3 linked regions of the Drosophila melanogaster genome follow. Changing the gene in region 3 together with the main gene of any one other region gives a genetic interaction. Each region holds a gene or a part of one and is shown on either strand. Other genes may lie near its edges.

Region 1 (6,680 bases), about 15 Mb from region 3:
GTTTTAATAATTTGTTATTAGCTAGTTGATATACGCAAATATCTCCGTTTAGAGATTGTTAACAGGCGGTGTTTACGGTTATTGGGAATTGTTTTGCGAGACAAATAATAAAAGTGAAAAAAAGTATCACTGTACAAAATAGTCGACTTCCTCGACTATCAGATACCCGTTATTCAGCTAGTTAAAATGCCATAGCGAAATTTCATGATTTGTCTGGGATATCGATAGATATTGGTGAATAAAATTTTTGGGAAATCAATCAAAATTTAAAAAACTAATAAAAATGTGAAAAAATGTGGCAGTTTTTGAAGATTTGTGGGCGTGGCAACATAGGCCAACAAACTTGCGCTGCGGGTATTTCTCTAGAATCTGTATGCTTAATCTCAACCTTCTAGATTGTATAGTTCCTGAGATCTCGACATTCATACAGACGGACGGACAGCGTCAGATCGACTCGGATATTGATCCTGATCGAGAATATATAGGCTTCATATGGTGAAAACTCTGCCTTCTACCTATTACATACTTTTCAATGAATCTAGTATAACATCTTACTCTACGAGTAACGGGTATAACTACAACTACAACATAGTATATATTCGTGAAATATATATGTGTAATGGTTATGGCATGTCGGTTAAATCGCCAAAAAAGTAAAAAATTGCAAAAATACATATATCTATAAGCAAATTTGGTTATTAACAAAACCACGGTCGAGGGCTTTTCTTGGCCCATTAAAATATGAAAATAGAATATGAATATTAAGGAGCAAATCTAACCTTGTATTGCTTTTCTTTGTACTCTTGCCATGGTTCGGGATTTGATGTGCGATTCCAAGTGACATCGGGATTACGAGTAGCAAGTCGAGCCATATAGTAGACGGCTCCAATAGCTCCCGCTCCAACGCACACATAAAGTGGAATTAACTGAACAAATTTTTGTTATGCAATCAACAGATAACTTAATATAATCATAAAACTTACAGCTGGATTTTTTTTAAGACTTTGCAGACCAAGACCTTGCATTTTGTCTACGTTATAATTAAAATGTATTTAATATGTAAGAAAGAAACACATTTATAAAAAATTACCTAACTTTACTCAATCCAATAAAACAGAATGGAACTATATATTAGATATGGACATATTTCGATGCCAACAGCGATGTCATCGATGTTTTCCAAACATCGGCAACTCGATGTTGACTCAAACATAAAAATATATGTATTCATAACAGGCAGATGTCATATTATTTTATATGTGACATGCCAGTATTAAGCGATGCTGGTATAGAATGGGAACTCAAAAATCATGCACATAAATATTTTTTTTTACATCTAAGGAATATATTATTTTATATACGTAATTTTTATGCATGCTTGTCGCACAGGTTTTATGTTAGGCTGTCATAATAATTTCAAGCCGCCGGGAACGATATAATCTTCTGAAGTAGTCATGCATTTTTGTTACATTTTGTTTATATGTCGAAAGGATTTTTTTTCAATAATAACAAGAAAAAATGCTATGTAGACTTTCCCGACTATTAAATATCCGTTACTCAGCTAGAGGCAATATGATCGCGAAATATCATAATTTTTCTGGGACACGGATAGAAATTGGTGAATGCAATGAGAAAATATTTAAAATTGTTCAAAAATGTGGGCGTGGTCGTTTTTTGGTCGGTTTGTATCGTTAGAGTGGGCGTGGCAAAAAGTTTTATGACAAATCAATAGAAATTTACAAAACTAATAAATATATGAAAATATATATCAACACAATTTTCAAAAGTGTGGGCGTGGCAGCGTTAGGCGTTAGGTTAATATCATATGGTTAATCTAAGCTTTATAGCTTATATTGTTCCTGAGATCTCGACGTTCATACGGACGGACAGACGGACACGACCAGATCGTGTCGACTACTGATCCCGATCAATTGTTCCAATGCTTCCATCAGCCTATTAGGAACTTTTAAACGATTCTGGTATACCCTATTACTCTACAAGTAACCGGTATAATAATAAACATAGAAAACAACAATCCTGATATGTGTGGAATATGTTAATTCATTAAATGAAATATTTTTGTTGGTAAAAATTAAAAATATTATTAAACTTTTCTCAATCGTCTTCAATACTTGAATATCACATATTTTTCACGAGAGTTCAATCATCAAAAATCAATTTTAATTATTTTCTTAAAGTCATTACTAAAGAATGACTCACAGGACTCAAAACTACAAAACTATTTAACTTATTCATTATATATTGGTTACGTTACGTAGGTCATGTGGCTCAGTGGGACTATGATATATTTAAAGCCCGCATTCTTTACAGCACTGCAAAGTTACAATCCTGGTACTATTAATAATCAGTGGACTACATATTATCGAAAAAGGCGTCGTCGGTTAAAGAATTTATGTTAAAACCTGATAAAATGGGCACGTTAACCGATTTCGGACAGATAGCTTTGAAATGGGATCCCAAAAATTTGGAAATTCGCACAATGTCAGTTGAAAAAACACTTGAACCCCTTGTATTACAAGTAACTACTCTTGTAAATACCAAGGGCCCAAGCAAAAAGAAAAAAGGTAAAATGTTTATAGCTTATAGTGCCTAGAAAACCTAAATATTAGAACTTTCAATTTTAAAGAAACTTTTTGCGAGTCGTGAATAACTGTGCGTATACTCATTTTAATTTTATTAATTATAAGTATTGTGTACATACGAGAAATGATAGAAAATGTTCTAAAACGGCTGTGTATACTATACATACATATTGTGACATCTTAAATTTTGTAGGATAGAAAGCATTTGAATTCATGTAACAAGCTTAAAACTGAAAAGGAATGTGAAAGCATCTTTTACCTCTTTAAACGCAAAATTGCGAAAATATAAAAAAATAGCCTATTAGTGATTTACATATATTTTGATTGTGTTTCATTTTGTTATATGTATATCTTTCCAATTTCTATCGATATGCAATAAAAATGTTCAAATTTATAGTTCGCTTGGCCACTAGCTGAGTAACAGGTATCTGATAGTCAAGGAAATTTACTATGGGGTTCGCTGTAATATATATTTGTTACTCGTAAAGTAAAATGGGGTACTAGATTCGTTGAAAACTAAGTATGAGGTAGAAGAAAGCGGTTCCAAAAAAAAAATATATATTCTAGATCAGGATCAATAGCCGAGTTGATCTGGCCATGTCCGACTTTCTGTCCGTATGACAAAGCGTTTTCATATGAATTCATATTTTCATTAGTCTTTTAAATTTCTATCGATTTACCTTTTTTTTTTATTAGAGTTTATCATTTATTATTAGTCATACGTCAATAGGAATCGTTCAGTTCCTTCTGAACTTAACCTAATGTGTAGCTTAAGAGATATGGATTCCGTTCCTTAATTAAAGTGTATACAAATGTACCGTGGAGAGAATCGATTTATCAAAAAACGTTTTGCAACGCCCACTCTAACGCCCAAAAATTGGTTTTCACACAAAAATGTTTTGGTATTTTTCATACTATTTTATTGATCTTGTAAATCTATTGATATGCCAAAATACCTATTGTCAGGCCCACAAACCGCCCAAACTTTTTGAAAAATATATTTCTTGTTTAAATATAATTATTTCTTTTTCAATTTTTACCGATTTTCCAAAAAAATTGAAATCTTTCACACTTCTAGTTGAGTAACGGGGTATCTGATAGTCGGGGACTCGGTTATAGCATCCATTCCAGTTTTTGTTTTAAGTCATGTCAATTCTTTTTGCAAAACCATTTTGGTCAGGAGAACTATATACAGAACTATCACAGGATGTAAACAGCTGTCAGGCCCTTAAAATACAATAAATTGTTACTTCATATTATTTAATTACTGTTTTTATACCCGTTACTCGTAGAGTAAAAGGCAGAAGGAAGCGTTCCCGACCATTAAAAGTAAATATTTTTTGGGCTGGCTCCAGCTCTCTTGAATTTTTGTTCAAGAGCCAGATTTCGGAGAGCTCTTCAGCCAGCAACTTCATTTTACGCATACAGTGACAGCCGAAAACTTTTTGTGTGTACACGAATACTCATGCATTGTAAATTTGACAAAATATGCCCTACACTTCAGAAGTTTTTGGAATTTAAATCTATATTATTTTTGGTCAATTGGCATTATTTTAAAAATAATTTTTTCCTATTCGTATTATTTTTATGAAATATATTTTTTTAAATGTATTAAACTGTATGTGTTAAACTACAAAAGTAATAATAACTATTCCATATCGCAACTTTTTTTCATTTATAAGTTTAAATATTGATGAACCTAATATTAATGCTGTAAAAAAAAACTTCTCCCAGTCCCCTGTTGAAAACTCCAAACATGTTAATTCGTTTCTTAGATCAAAATTGATTTCGGCCCGAAAATCGTCTTCTAGCACAAGTACGCACACATATACACTTTCACGTTTAAACGTTACTCACACAAGCAACCAAAGTCTATTATTTTACGCTCTCAATATTATTCGAGAGAAAAGAGCACAATCTTGGCCGTCACCAAACAAGTAGCTGCTTAGTGAAAAACCAATGTATGGCCCTTACGCATCTTGTTATTCTAGTGTCTTTGATCTGACCCTGTCCGCCCTTCTGTCTGTCCGTTCGTATGAACCTCGAGTTCTCAGGAACTATAAAAGGTTGAGATTAAGACATTTACGCAGCTCAAGTTTGTTGACCCATGTTGGCACACCTATTCTACCGCCCAGAGCTGCTACGCCTGACCTTTGGAAAAATGTGAAGTTTTTTCATATTTTTATTAGTCGTGGAAATTTCTATAGACTTGCCAAAACTGTATGGTAAAAGAGTATACCAGATTCGTTAAATTCCGACTATATAAAGTATATATATTCTTGATCAGGATCAATAGCCGAGTCGATCTAGCCATGTCCGTATGAACGTCGACACATTAGCTAGAAGGTAAAGCCGCCCTAAAACCGCCCAAAACTGACACGCCTACATTTTTGAACCATTTTTCTATGTGCCTAAAATTTTTTGCCACGCCCACTCTTACGCCCTAATTTTTTATAATTTTTTTAGTCTTGTAAATTTTTATCGATTGACCAAACACTTTTTTTCGCAAGTGCGAGAGTACAAGATAGATAGAGGGCGAGAGAGAGTAGCTTAGACAACGAAAGATAATCGCCTATCTGAGATGCCGTAGAGCTTAATGTTGTGTCTCCAAAGTTGGCATGTTTACAAATAAGAAATTTAGGCATTGCTGGCTGATGCAAGACCCGAAAATCGATTTTATTAATGTGATCATTTGATCATTACTTAATGCCGTTTTGTTTTCTTATAAAAATCTATTTTCGCTAGCCCCATTGCAAACGATTTTTTTTGACGAAGCGTAAACAATTTCCTTGGCCTTGGAATCAAATAAGTTTAAATCAATTATAGTATTGAAAATGTGTGTTGAATATTGCATTCTGCAAAAAAACAGATGCCGTTCGAATTAATAGTATTTAAGGCTCGTAGACTCGGCGTTTTCCATCTTAAACTTTAAGCTGTTTGGCAGCTTCATTTAGGTAAGTTGACTCATTTGTAAATTTCTTTGGTGATCGAGAGGAAATAATCAACTTTTACATATATATATATTTAAGTGGTTTAAAAATATCAAAAAACGTATAAACATTGTCGAATAATCTTCTCAATTTTAATAGTTTCTAATTTGTATTTTGTATTTGCAGGAAAATCAAAGCGGGCCAGCGCATTAGTTGCAGCTGTTGAAAAAGCTACAGAAAATTTTATTCAAAAAGGTGAACAGATCGCTTACGAGAACCCAGACATTACACAAGAAATGTTAACAGCTGTGGATGAAGTAAAAAAAACTGGAGATGCTATGAGCATTGCAGCCAGAGAATTTTCTGAAGATCCGTGCAGTTCCCTGAAGAGAGGAAATATGGTGCGCGCAGCTAGGAATCTGTTGTCAGCTGTAACCCGCTTGCTGATTTTAGCTGATATGGTTGATGTACATTTGCTCTTAAAATCACTCCACATTGTCGAAGATGATCTAAACAAACTCAAAAACGCTTCGAGTCAGGACGAGCTTATGGATAATATGAGGGTATGTGTCGGAATAAAATAAAGAAATATTATTATCGTATATGAGAGCAATTCTATGTTTTGCCCTCCTATAGTCTTCGATAAATGAGTTTTATTTGTAACCAACACAAATTTATATGCTATGATTAATATTAAGCATGCAGAATTCAGTGACGCAGACTACAATTTGTATTATACCCGTTACTCGTAGAGTAAAAGTTTATATTAGATTCGTTGAAATGTGTGTAACAGGTAGAAGAGAGCGTCCGTATGTCCGTATCAACGTCTCGATCTCAGGAACTATAAAAGCTAGAAGGTTGAGATTAAGCATACAGATCTTAGACACAGACGCAGCGCAAGTTTGTTGACCCATGCTGTCATACCCACTCTAACGCTCACAAACAGGCCAAAACTGTCATGACCACATTTTTTAAATATTTTTGATATATTTTCATTTTTCTATTAGTCTTGTAAATTGCTCTTCATTTGCAAAAAAACTATGCCACGCCAACACTAACGCCCTAAAGCCGCCTTAAACTGCTACGCGAATTTTTATCTGTATACCACGCTCCTCTTTTTACCTATAAATGACTTTATTGAAGGCTT
Region 2 (6,498 bases), 3.8 Mb from region 3:
ATATAGGAGAAACCTAAAACTGCTGCGAAGTATCGTAGCATATTCATGTATTCCTATATTATCATTCCTACTATTGGATTTTACAATTCAACTGATGCGAATGTGTTTTCTAGCCACTAAATTGGACAACTTTTTCAACTGGCTGATAAGAAAATAAAATCTTTAAAGTTACAAACTGAAACTAGTCCACGTTGAGCTTTCTAAAGGAACCTTCTACTCCGAAAAGCCCCTCAAAATCGATTGGTTTTCCGGGACGCAGGCTCTCGTCGGTGCCGAAGTTCACATTTTCCTGGAAGAAATCGGCGTACTCGTCCAACTTCTTCTCCATGGCGGCCACGATGTCCTGCGTGGTGCCATTCTCGCCGCCGTATTCCTCGGGCAGATATTTCAGTGGAATCTGCTCCGTCAAGAGCCCCATTTTGTTGCCGTGCACAAATAGGCGAGACTGCATTTTCTTGGACATCATTGGCTTGAACATGTTGAACAGCTGCTCGAATCCGGTGATGGTGTTGATGAAATGCTGTGCCTTCAGACGCAGTGGAAGTGCCTCCTCCGAGAAGACAGTGAATTTCTTGGCCATCGACGGCGTCATCTGGAACAAGTGTGCGGCGGTGGCACCCTTCATGTCCATAATGAAAACTACTCCATTGACATTGGCGTAGTCGTCCTCCAAAATGGCAATCTCCTGCATTGCCTGGGCCACTTGCATGCACTCCAGCATTGTGTACTTCTCCACTGGCACCAATCCCATGCGCCAGATCCCGATGCGAGGTCCATTTTCATTCAGCGGAGTGGGCAGGTAGATGATGGCACTGAATTGACAGAATTGCATTGATAAATTAAATTAGTTAGCTGGCGTCAAAATCCTTACCCCGTTTGATGAATCTCCCGGAACTTGCTATCCGTGGTGTTGGTAACTCGGAAATAGTCCGGATACTTGGTCTTCAGCGTGTAGTACTTATCTAACTTGGACTTGGCCCGCTCCAAACTGTACTTGCAGCCGCGCAAGAAAGCCACCAGAAACTGATCATCCATTCGGGGATTTAGATGCGGCTGCTGCTCGATCCATGTCTTAAACGCCTGCAGATCGGCTTCGAGACGTTCGGGATCCTCCTTGAGCTGCTCCTTGGCAACTTTTTGCAGCTCTGGCGTAAGTGGACGGATTTGCGGTGACATTTCTAGGTCGTTTGCGGTCAGGAGGAAGTACTAGTGAACTGCTCGACGATTCTTGAGGCACTACCTGGACAATTTACGTTCTATTGATGGTCGATTATACGGAGCTTTATCAATTAATTGATAAGCGTCCGATTGGGCGCCATAAACCAAACAAAGACAAACATTGTGAAAAGTACTAAGATAACAGGCGCATTTCATAAGGAATGCTTCAGTTTGAATTAGCCAAAGATCGAGGAACCCACAACCGGTTTTAGCATACATAATTAACGCGTTTTATTTGGTGTTTTATTTTTGGAAGGGATAGTAGTCCAGGCCGGAGTTGTAGTTGAACTTCTTCTTTTGCTTCTTCTGGGCGGCCGCAATGATCTCCTGCACATCCTTGCGATACGCGGGTGGCAGCATCTCCTCGTGCAGCGTGCAGGGCTTCTGCTCGGGCTCCTCCACCTTGAAGATGTAGCGCCGTATGATGTCGATGTCGCGGCCAAACTCCTCCTTCAAGTCTGCGATCTTAGTGGGCGCCGTATCAAAGGCGATGGTGAAGTGGGTGCCTTCCCGGTGAACCACCCCGTGTTCGCTGACTTTGTGGGGCAGGGCGCGGGATCCCAGGTTCTCCAGCTTCCGGATAATGCCGCCCTTGTCCAGGATGGACTCGGCCGTTCGCCTAATCACGGAAATCAGTTCGGGCTGCGGGCGGTGTACAATTCTTATTTACTTTTATGTAACTGCCGGTGGATTTCATGTGCTACTCACGCGAGGCAATTGGCGGAGCACCAGTGCTAGTTCGTAAGAAGGCATTGTGACCGGTGAATTGTATGAGCTGGTAAGGAATTTAATTTCTTATATTAACGTTGTTTCTCTCAAGTTTTAATTCATTAAAAAGTTAGTAAATCTAATGTAATTGTTGACCCACCAGCTGATAGTGTTAACAGCTGATGCAAGGAAAGTACTAAAAATGATCTAGCGCCTGGCGCACATGCTTACACCTTACAGTGTGCCAAAATCTATTGCTCCAGTGAATTTAATGTTCAAATTAATATATTATATACAACAATAAGCGATGCTCTTGTTACTTTAAAAGCAATAAACAATAATAAGAAGTTTCTTCCAAGCTCAATAATAGCTTTCTTCATCTGTTTCAACGTTATGTTATTCCATAAAATTATTAGTTTTCAAGGCCACAATAATATATTTAAAAAGTCTACAATTAACGTTAAATTATAAAAAAAAATGGGGGCACGTATTAACGAAAGTTTCATATATTTTATATAATAATAATTAAACTTTACAGTTGCTCTCAATATGGGTTCATATCCCCGCTAGATGTTAAAGAGTTAGAAATTAGGTCGCCATCGGTCTCTGGTCACACTGCAAACGCAGAGGTGTGCCTATTCAAACACATTGCGGTCACACTGTGTATTGATGCCGAAGTGAAAAAACGAGCGGAAAGTTGCGAGCGGATAAAATTGTTTTTTCGCACGCCAAAAAGGAGAAACAAATGCTTGCGTTGTGTGAGTGCGGGTGTTTTAACTGTGTGCTTGTGTGTGTGTGCAAATGTCGCCCGAATTATGACGCATGCGAAAGTGCAGGCGCTAAATAAAACCCAAAATCGAAAGAAGTTGCAACTGCAAAGCAAATGCTAAAAAAAAAGTTAGCACAAATAACAAAAAAAAAAACGGTGGCAGATCTAGAAGCAGAGTGCGTGCATTCGGCAATTGCGTTTACTTGTGTGCGTGTGTGTGCGAAATTATGTAAATACAACAATAGTAGAATTCCAATTGTCCTCTCTTTCTGCTTTTCTCAATTATGAAATGCAGTTGCATCGCTCTCTATCTCTATCGCTCCCTCTCTCTCCTCACTCTCTTTGCGCATCGAAATGCCAGTGCATAGAATTTTCTTATTTTGCACTTATCACTAAACAACTCCCAAAAAAAGTGTTTAAATTCTCATTATCTATAATTTCCTTCAACTTCATTTTTCTACCTGCCGCTGCAACTGACACGTCTGCATTGCCACTCTTTTTTGTTTTTACATGCTTTCTTACCTGCCCAACCACCGAAAAAAAAAAAAACAAAAATGAAATATATCTGACTCGAATTGCTCTCTTTCATAGAAAATTAAACATCGCGCCGCGCAACGCTGAAAAAAATATAGAAAAACAAACGGAAAATGAAAACGAAAAAGCAGCCATAAAATTAATTAACCTTTGCGGGAAAATATAAAACAAAAACGAATAAAAGTTCTCATCTTTTGCTCTTCTCCCTCGCTTTCTACCTTTCTCCCTCTCTCCTCATCGTCTGTGGATTACATTATCTTCTGTGGATTATTATTATTAAAACAACAACAACAACGACGGCAACAACAAATACAGTGGCAAGCGGATCGAGCAGAAGCAGCAGCAACAACAAACTGGCCGAATCGGAAAACTCAGCGCAAAACTCCAACAACATGAGTTGGGGCACCGAGCTATGGGTGAGTTTTTCCTGGATTTAGAGGGGCTATATCTTCAGATAAGAAGTCGTATTTCATTGATAAAACAGGGGGTTCCTATAAGCAACAAATACATAGTTCTGCTTGTTTGAGGAGTATGAATGTATACCTATAGCTAAAAATCAAAACAAATTCGTAGTTTAGCTTGATCAGAATCATTAAGGTGTCCATTACCAGCTCAAAGAAGCTGGGGTCGGAAAAATCGAATTTTTGAAATTTGAAAGCTGGAATCGTTTGCCCATTTTTTGCCCATGTTTGCCCACCAATTAGTTTTTTTTGCCCACGTCCAGTTTTTGAGATATGAATTTTCGAAAAAGTTCGAAAATTTTCGAAAATCAAAAATTTCGCTTTTTTCAAATTTTTTTTTTTTAAATCGCAATAACATCGTTTGCCCACGTTTGCCCACCCTTTAGAATTTTGAAAAAATTTATACTTTAGAAAATATAAGGCTTTTAAGTTTACCTCGGTCTAATCAGAGAGTAAATCGTTTGCCCATCTCTTAAAACCAAATATTATCAACAAAAAACGTTTGCCCAACCATTATTATTAGTTTTTATCGTTTGCCCACCCTTTAAAAAACCTTTAACAAAAATTTTTTTTCGATTGCCCACACTTGAAATACAACTAATTTCGTTAGCCCACCTCTTCAAAATAAAACTTTTCAATAAAAAACGTTTTCCCACCATTTAAAAATAAATAATTTCGATTGCCCACCTTTTAAAACTAAATAATTTCGTTTGCCCATCCTTTAAAATTCATTTTTAACGTTTGCCCACCCTTTAAAATTTGTTTTTTTCGTTTGCCCACCTCTTAAAAATGGTTTTTTCGATTTTTCACCTATTAAAACTAAATTTGTACATATGTACATATGTAATAATTGTAAGATGTGGCGCCAAAAGCACAGTTACTTACAAAAGAACAGTTATTTACATATTTACATACATTTTCAATATATCCATAGTGTTAATCATTCATGAATTGTAACATCAATTTTTCTTAATCATTGTTTCATTTCATGGAAAATATTTTATATTGCAATATAATATATATGCAAAAAAATGTATGTATGTTTATCAACACTCTCCAAGCTCAAGAAAATTCTGGAATAAAATATTTTCCATGAAATGAAACAATGATTAAGAAAAATTGATGTTACAATTCATGAATGATTAACACTATGGATATATTGAAAATGTATGTAAATATGTAAATAACTGTTCTTTTGTAAGTAACTGTGCTTTTGGCGCCACATCTTACAATTATTACATATGTACATATGTACAAATTTAGTTTTAATAGGTGAAAAATCGAAAAAACCATTTTTAAGAGGTGGGCAAACGAAAAAAACAAATTTTAAAGGGTGGGCAAACGTTAAAAATGAATTTTAAAGGATGGGCAAACGAAATTATTTAGTTTTAAAAGGTGGGCAATCGAAATTATTTATTTTTAAATGGTGGGAAAACGTTTTTTATTGAAAAGTTTTATTTTGAAGAGGTGGGCTAACGAAATTAGTTGTATTTCAAGTGTGGGCAATCGAAAAAAAATTTTTGTTAAAGGTTTTTTAAAGGGTGGGCAAACGATAAAAACTAATAATAATGGTTGGGCAAACGTTTTTTGTTGATAATATTTGGTTTTAAGAGATGGGCAAACGATTTACTCTCTGATTAGACCGAGGTAAACTTAAAAGCCTTATATTTTCTAAAGTATAAATTTTTTCAAAATTCTAAAGGGTGGGCAAACGTGGGCAAACGATGTTATTGCGATTTAAAAAAAAAAAATTTGAAAAAAGCGAAATTTTTGATTTTCGAAAATTTTCGAACTTTTTCGAAAATTCATATCTCAAAAACTGGACGTGGGCAAAAAAAACTAATTGGTGGGCAAACATGGGCAAAAAATGGGCAAACGATTCCAGCTTTCAAATTTCAAAAATTCGATTTTTCCGACCCCAGCTTCTTTGAGCTTCCATTACCTCCTATATTCTTGGATATTAAAGAGGCGCTTATCTTCAGATAGGCTATATATATTGAAAGGCTCCAAACCTAAAATATAGATAGAAACGACAACATTGGTCTTATTAAGAAATTGTAAGCACTCATCAAAAATTACAAATTGCAAGCCACACAATTTTAATTAATTAAACATTTTTGTTTTGCCAAGCACTTGGTAAATGCAATTAAACTTCTCAAATATTTTACAACTACCAGAAAATAAGCTCGAAATTCCGGTTTTTTAAAACCAACTGACACATTGTTCCTGTCAGAAAACCCTACATTTTCTAATTGGATACCCAATCTCAGTGAACTTAAGCGTGTCAATTAATTATTATTTCAATGTCATCGGTTTACCCATAGGAAATCCACTCAAATGCTCGAGCAGTGAGAATTTAACAAATTGCTTCCCATAAGCCAAAGTGCAGGCAAATGTTTTAAGAACGCACGCTTAAAGCGTCCGTCTCTCTCAGCCGCTGCATTGCCGTCTCTTTCCGTCTGCCGACCAAGTTGGAACTCGAAACTTTATAAAAAAAAAAACTGGTTTTGCGGGTTTTATGTAAATTACTGCCATATGAGCACGGCCAGCAGCAGCAGCGTGCGCCTCAATTCAATATGTGCTGCACACACATATATATATGTATATTTATGTATGTATATTTTTCGGATATATCTGCTTTCTTGTTGTTTTTATTTTCCTCATAGTTTGCGTTCTGTTTCGCCAAAGACCCCACATTCCACTTCGATCCATCGGATTCCCAGTGCCGGGTCTCCACATTATTATTATTATTATTATTTATTTTTTTTTTTGTTTTTTCCGCTCTGTCTATGGGCATTCTCCGGCTCA
Region 3 (6,746 bases):
ACGACATGATGGGAAAGATCACGTCCTGGATGACAGCCACCATGTGAGGCTTAATCAGCTTCCAGGTGTAGGCGTGGCTAACCCTGCAAACGGAATAAATAACATTTAAAAAAACGAGTCAACTGATTGGAATCGACTTTTGTAACTGCAATTATAAACACTACATCTTATCAGCTTTAAAAATTTTCAGACTTTCTATCAAAGATTAGGTATCTCCTAATTAAGTAACATCGATTTTACATTCCAACTATATATCAAATGTCACATGAGAATTTATAGAATACTAAATTACTTACGCATTCTTCAGATAGTTGAGCACATCAGTGAGGACGCGTGGTGAGACGTAGACTCTGTTTCGGTACTGGTCGAGGATCTTGAGGAGCACCTCCAGCACGCCCTGGCTAAACGTGGGCAGATACCACTCTGCGAATTTTTGGTATTTTTCACTAACCACATTGCTGGGACTGCCATAACTAAATTTATACATACAACGTTAGTTATCTAGACTATGACTATAGATACTGCCGTCAACGTACCGCTCGAACATGCGAACCATGATGTGCAGGGCCCACTTCTTAGTCTTCCAGTAGGGGAACTCCGTTCGCTCATCATCGTCCAGGTGCGAGCTATCGGGCACTGCGCGATCAGCCACCTGACGACAGATCTCCATCCACTGCGAGAAGATCTCCTTGGTAATGAGGTCCAGTGGAAGGGTGTATTGCGTGAGGGCATAGTAGATCTTGAGAATTTGCTTTTGTAGCAGCACAGATTGCTCGGACTGCTCTGCCAGCAGTCGGACCATCAGCTGGTAGATCATGGGCAACAGTAGGTTCATTGCCTCGTTTAGCGGCGTCCTCTCCTCATGCCGCTTGTACTCGTAGGTCTTGACCAGCTGGTACATGGTTACCAGAGCTCCGTTCCAGCCGTTGACATCCTGGTTTTGCAGATATATGCTGATGCTATCCACCACCTGTGGCCAGCGTCCAGGGAAATCGCTTTTAATGATGTGATTGACGCAGACAGACAACTGGACCCTGTGTACAGAACGAAATTAGCCCCCTGGAAAGGATTTTCAATGGATTTACCCACCTAATCAACTCGGGGGCGTGCACAATAGCATCTACAATAGCGCCACGGATCATAGCCCGATCCTGTTCGTGTATAGAGAAGGGTATTGGCTCTCCAGGCTTGGCCTCGTGGTCCGACCAGCTGCTGTTGATCAGATTCTTGAGGTAGACAGCACCGGCCTGGCGCACCGGCTGTTCCACCGTCGTCTGCATAACGATCTGCAGTATGGTGGGCACAAATCCGATGATTTTGTGTATCTGTGGGGATTTTAATGTATAGAAATAAAATAGAATGGATATGTTTACACAGCTGTTTGGGGTTGGGTTAAATTTGAATTGGTCAAAGAATCAATGGCAGAAGCACTTTAAATTCCGTTCACAGAGCTCAATTAATATGGAGGAGCCAAGAACAACTGCTGGCCATAAGCGCTGATAAAGTTAATTGACAACAGGGGGGTTGGTGGGAGGCGATTGGGAGGGGCATGCAAATCGTTAGATGCTGACTCAGTCGTAATGAGCATGCCTCTACAGTGGGGCCAAAGCAATTGGTTAGTGGGGTGGGGTCTAATTAGACTGGCCGCTCTGATTGCCCACATTTATTTCCAAGGGAATTGCGTAAGCTTCAATCAAAGGGCATTCCGGCGATATTTCGAAAGTCTCAATTAAATATTTATTAACAATTCAGTGGATTTCCGAAGAATCACACGAAACTCGCAATAAATATGTACACATATAGAAATATATATAGCATACATACATATGTAGGTGCCCCAAAGATATCGACTTGTTGCCTCTGGGGCAACAACATAGAAGTCGGGATAATGGTAAACACATAAAGGGCAAACTTTTTGACCGATATCGGATTACACTATCCACACCCACACACTTGTACAACGACCAGAGTGATGAAGTGCGGGAGCGAGGGAGGTTAAAAGCGAACAATTAAAAAAGCACATGGTTTTCAGGCGATGGCGCCACCTCCAAAGACCTTTCGAATTCAAGTGCAGGCGTTTATTTTTGGGAGCAAACTCACCTGGGCCAGTTGATCCTCGGCCGCCTTGCGCTGTTCCGGATTCGGATCAATAGTTGCGCGCAACAGTTCCGTGAGTTTTTGTGCCTCCATTTTTGCTACTTTTGCTTGATTCTATGTTTCGCCGGTCTTTCTGCTGCACTTCGTCGTTTGGCGGTCACCTTGTGCCCACTGTGCACCCGCTGTTCTTGCCTTTATATAGACCTTGGTTTATGCTAGCCGAACCAGTGGCTCCAATGTGTGGGCCAAATTGCAAATCTCTTTTTCCGGAGGAAAAAACGTGGAAAAGACTCCACACACGCACACACACACCGCCGAAATTCGCGAGACGAACGAAGCTTAGAAGAAGAAGAAACAGCGCCTGTGTGTGTTGACTAACGCCGCAGTGTATGGGGCCCTACAGGGCTGCATTATGTTCGCCGGTAACAGTTTAGCCAAAAATTCGAGCAATATTGAAAAGCCTTCGCTGCGGAAAATCTAGGCACCATTTATATATAGACCACTTGCTTCATAAGGTAACTATATTTAAAGGCTTAAAAAACAGCGACTTTTCACAATTCCCGATAAATTGCCATTCAAGTTGCATGGCCAATCGATTGTTGCAGCCCTGGCAGCTGCTCGTACGTGAACACGCGAATGTGTGTGTGACGAAGAGCAAAGTGACACATAGTTGGAGGTGTGGTTGAAAATATATAGAAATCTGGGTTTATCTGCAACTGAAACGAAGGGAAATTTGTGTTAAAGGCGAGCGAAGATCGCAACTGAAGAGCTTTAACTGGCAGCAAGGCAAAAGGACGAGCAGCGACCATGGCAGGCAGGCTACCGGCATGCGTAATCGATGTGGGCACCGGGTGAGTTTTTAGTTTCGATTGCCCGTGGGGGTCTCCAATTGGACGGAAAGGAGGTCGACTGACTAACACTCTGCTTGTCTGCACATCCATCAGCTACTCCAAACTGGGATTTGCCGGGAATAAAGAGCCGCAGTTCATTATTCCCTCGGCGATTGCCATCAAGGAGTCGGCACGAGTGGGAGACACCAACACACGGCGCATCACAAAGGGCATCGAGGACCTGGACTTCTTCATCGGCGATGAGGCCTTCGATGCCACCGGCTACTCCATCAAGGTATGCTCTTGTATCTATGGTCATTAAGCAACCGACATCACATTTATCATTGCATTCCAATAGTATCCGGTGCGTCATGGTCTGGTGGAGGACTGGGACTTGATGGAGCGCTTTCTGGAGCAGTGCGTCTTTAAGTATCTGCGCGCCGAGCCTGAGGATCACTACTTCCTGCTGACTGAGCCGCCGCTAAATACGCCCGAAAATCGGGAGTACACCGCGGAGATAATGTTTGAGACGTTCAACGTTCCTGGTCTGTATATCGCCGTCCAGGCGGTGCTTGCCCTAGCCGCCAGTTGGGCCTCCCGGTCCGCAGAGGAGCGTACCCTTACAGGCATCGTGGTGGACAGCGGCGATGGAGTGACGCACGTCATACCCGTGGTAAGTAGCACAGATCTTATCTTATCAGCAGAGTTGGGTTGGCACTGGATTCGGTAAAAACTGTTTGAAAAGAGAACCCAAAACCGAAACAGTCGACGGATTTATTTAATAAATAAATAGCACATTCTGAGGCTATTATTAATACTACAGAATGTTATATTAAGAGGGAATTATTAAGATAAAATAGCGTATTAGTTATAACCATATAAATATATTAAGCTGTTTTTCATTTCTAGGCCGAGGGCTATGTGATCGGCTCCTGCATCAAGCACATTCCCATCGCGGGCCGCAATATCACCTCGTTCATCCAGAGCCTGCTACGCGAACGGGAGGTGGGCATTCCGCCGGAACAGAGCCTCGAGACTGCTAAAGCGATCAAGGAGAAGCACTGCTACATCTGTCCCGATATCGCCAAAGAATTTGCCAAGTACGACACGGAGCCGGGCAAGTGGATACGCAACTTTAGCGGCGTTAACACGGTAACCAAGGCGCCGTTCAATGTGGACGTGGGCTACGAGCGATTCCTGGGACCCGAGATCTTCTTCCATCCCGAGTTCTCAAACCCCGACTTTACCATTCCACTGTCGGAAATAGTGGATAATGTCATCCAAAACTGCCCAATCGATGTGCGGCGTCCTCTATACAATAACATTGTTCTGAGCGGTGGATCAACGATGTTCAAGGACTTCGGCAGGAGGTTGCAGCGAGATATCAAGCGATCGGTGGACACACGTCTCCGGATCAGCGAGAATTTGTCCGAGGGACGCATTAAGGTGGGTGATATCACAGCTGCTAATGAGTCATACTTCTTACTTTGATTATTTTTGTTACAGCCAAAACCCATTGATGTTCAGGTGATTACGCACCACATGCAGAGGTACGCCGTGTGGTTTGGAGGCAGCATGTTGGCTTCAACGGTAAGTTATAGTGGCCTAAGATCCGTAAAATCCTTTATCTCAATATTCTTCCCATTTCTAGCCCGAGTTCTATCAGGTGTGTCACACGAAGGCTGCCTACGAGGAGTATGGCCCCAGCATTTGCCGTCACAATCCCGTCTTTGGCACCATGACATAATTGATCCGATCCAATCGGCTTGCAGCAGTTATTTTTGATTTATTTTTCCATTTAAAATTGATTTATTGATTTATTCTCCAACTATATATATATATATATACATTGCGATTCGGTATTCCACGCTAAAGTATTAGTAATTATTCTTTTCTATATGTGTTTAGCTATTAACTCTGTGTAAATCAGTTTCGTTCTGTTTAATTTCGTGTGATTTTGTTAGGCTAACTATAAAGCAACAACTCCGATGTCTGCCAGTTCAACCCCCTATCTAAGGTGCATTATTTCTAGAAGTCGACTTTTATACCATACTCAAACACGATCACACACAGTCACACCGATCTAAGCTCTTGGAGAAATCCCGGCTCTATACACAATTAAATACGAAAACGCTCTACTTGTCATAGAAATATTTATAATTGCAATAACTGCAACCAATTCAAACACTGAATGAACAAAAAAGGAAAAACGAAAAGAAATATTGATGAGAAATCTGTTTGTTATATTGATAAGCGTAATTAAAAAGGCATTAAATAAATCAATAAAACATTCTTTAAGCTCAAACACTTTCGTCGCTTTCGATCTAAAGCTTTTACTGGAAAATTTTATTCAATGCATAAGTTACATATATATATTTTTTTGTGTTCAAATTGCTCTATGTATTGTATATATAAATTTTGTGACGGTGTCGCTAAGCTGAGAAAATAGCAAAAGGTGGTTTCCAAAAAACATGTCCCGAGCTAGAAATCCGAAACAACTTCGTTACGCCTCGCGTAATTGACAAACTGACTAGTCAATGTAGTCACTGGAGCCCTCCTCCTCGTCGTTGCTGCTCGTGGATTGTGCCGCCGCCGTTTCCGGCGAACGCAAGTGCTCTGCAATCCGGAAGTTTTGCAGGAAGTCTCGCATCGCGTCCATCATTAGCGTTAATGACTGCTGCAAACCAGCTTCTGCAATAATGTTGGAGGAGAAGTGTAACTACGATATCCGCTAGCGATTCTTTTGGAATTTCAGCATAATTTTAGGTTAGATTTTTGACGATTTTAAGAATGAGAAACAAAATATCGCTTTTAGCCAAGTTATTGAAACAAAAGCCAAAGCTTTAATACAATTTCGGGATATGAACGAAATTAAGCAAAGCCATAATACAACCAGCGAAACATATTCTAAGATTCATGCTCTGTGACGAAACGGGGGCGACAAAATCGGTTTTATCTCAAGATATTTTTAATAATGCTCATACGAACCTTCTCCTTCGCCAGCTACGCCGGCAGCTCCTTGTTCAATGCCCACTTCAATGTTAGCATCGCCTGCAGCTGCTCCCGCACCTGCTGCTGGTGCTGCTCCTTCTTGTAGCTGAGCATTTGCAGCTAGGTTGTTAATGTTAAACGAAGGCAAGAGCGATTGAAAGAACATTGACACAGAATTGTTCGTGTTCGTTGTGGGGCTGCTGCTTGACGAAGATTTTCTGCAAGTACTGGTTTTTAGAATTTACTAACTTTGAGCCGATTCGAACGACATACCGATGATAGCAGTTGACGCTGTTCGGTGGCGGCAGTGGATCATAGGTCATAATGGCTTGCTTCTCCTTGGACACGAAGACCGCCAGTGGAACTTTCTCCTTGTAATCGGAGAGTATGACATGTCGAAGAATGGGCCTTGGTGGTGTTCCACTATATCGCAGTGATCGCTTCTCCTTGTACTCATTAACCAGGGGATCCTTACTCTCAATGCGATCTAACACTATGTTCACGTTGGATTCCAACCAGGGTAGCACCTCGTTCTGACGCCAAACGACTCTTGCACGGCACACATACAGGCACACCAGCTGGTGCAGGGCGGGCGATTGACTGGTAAACAAGATAAGACATTAAATTCCATACCACTAATCATTCACGGAGATAAGACTCCACTTACTTGCCCGACACATCTGCAAAGAAGTACGATGAGGCCAGGACCCTCTTGTCCGTTTGCACCGACATCTCGTCCAAAAGAGGACGTAAAACACCCGGGAACATTAGTAGGGCGTATTGCAGTGCCTGGTTAGAGCGTTCACAAGCGCCATAGAGCGTGTGTAG

The links.
Region 1: of Arp3 (region 3) and alpha-Cat, changing one suppresses a phenotype caused by changing the other (phenotypic suppression), as found in Drosophila melanogaster (one study listed by BioGRID).
Region 2: of Arp3 (region 3) and Cip4, changing one enhances a phenotype caused by changing the other (phenotypic enhancement), as found in Drosophila melanogaster (one study listed by BioGRID).

What each region holds. Positions count from the first base shown.
Region 1 is NT_037436.4:23,333,780-23,340,459, reverse strand, and holds the start of alpha-Cat (alpha catenin), read left to right. Parts: upstream 1-2,359; 5' UTR 2,360-2,413; coding exon 2,414-2,585; intron 2,586-5,719; coding exon 5,720-6,096; intron 6,097-6,680. Other genes in the region: ND-MLRQ (NADH dehydrogenase (ubiquinone) MLRQ subunit), read right to left, coding at 780-926, 984-1,025. UniProt on the Drosophila melanogaster protein: Associates with the cytoplasmic domain of a variety of cadherins. The association of catenins to cadherins produces a complex which is linked to the actin filament network, and which seems to be of primary importance for cadherins cell-adhesion properties.
Region 2 is NT_037436.4:4,360,174-4,366,671, reverse strand, and holds the start of Cip4 (Cdc42-interacting protein 4), read left to right. Parts: upstream 1-2,697; 5' UTR 2,698-2,809; coding exon 2,810-2,924; intron 2,925-3,544; coding exon 3,545-3,645; intron 3,646-6,498. Other genes in the region: CG33514 (uncharacterized protein), read right to left, coding at 182-812, 872-1,176; mRpS6 (mitochondrial ribosomal protein S6), read right to left, coding at 1,462-1,860, 1,927-1,971.
Region 3 is NT_037436.4:8,111,884-8,118,629, reverse strand, and holds Arp3 (Actin-related protein 3), read left to right. Parts: upstream 1-2,727; 5' UTR 2,728-2,904; coding exon 2,905-2,948; intron 2,949-3,041; coding exon 3,042-3,222; intron 3,223-3,285; coding exon 3,286-3,600; intron 3,601-3,836; coding exon 3,837-4,373; intron 4,374-4,433; coding exon 4,434-4,517; intron 4,518-4,578; coding exon 4,579-4,674; 3' UTR 4,675-5,223; downstream 5,224-6,746. Other genes in the region: msk (moleskin), read right to left, coding at 1-83, 297-473, 537-1,034, 1,090-1,325, 2,101-2,190; Nulp1 (nuclear localized protein 1), read right to left, coding at 5,458-5,618, 5,916-6,136, 6,192-6,518, 6,586-6,746. UniProt on the Drosophila melanogaster protein: Functions as ATP-binding component of the Arp2/3 complex which is involved in regulation of actin polymerization and together with an activating nucleation-promoting factor (NPF) mediates the formation of branched actin networks.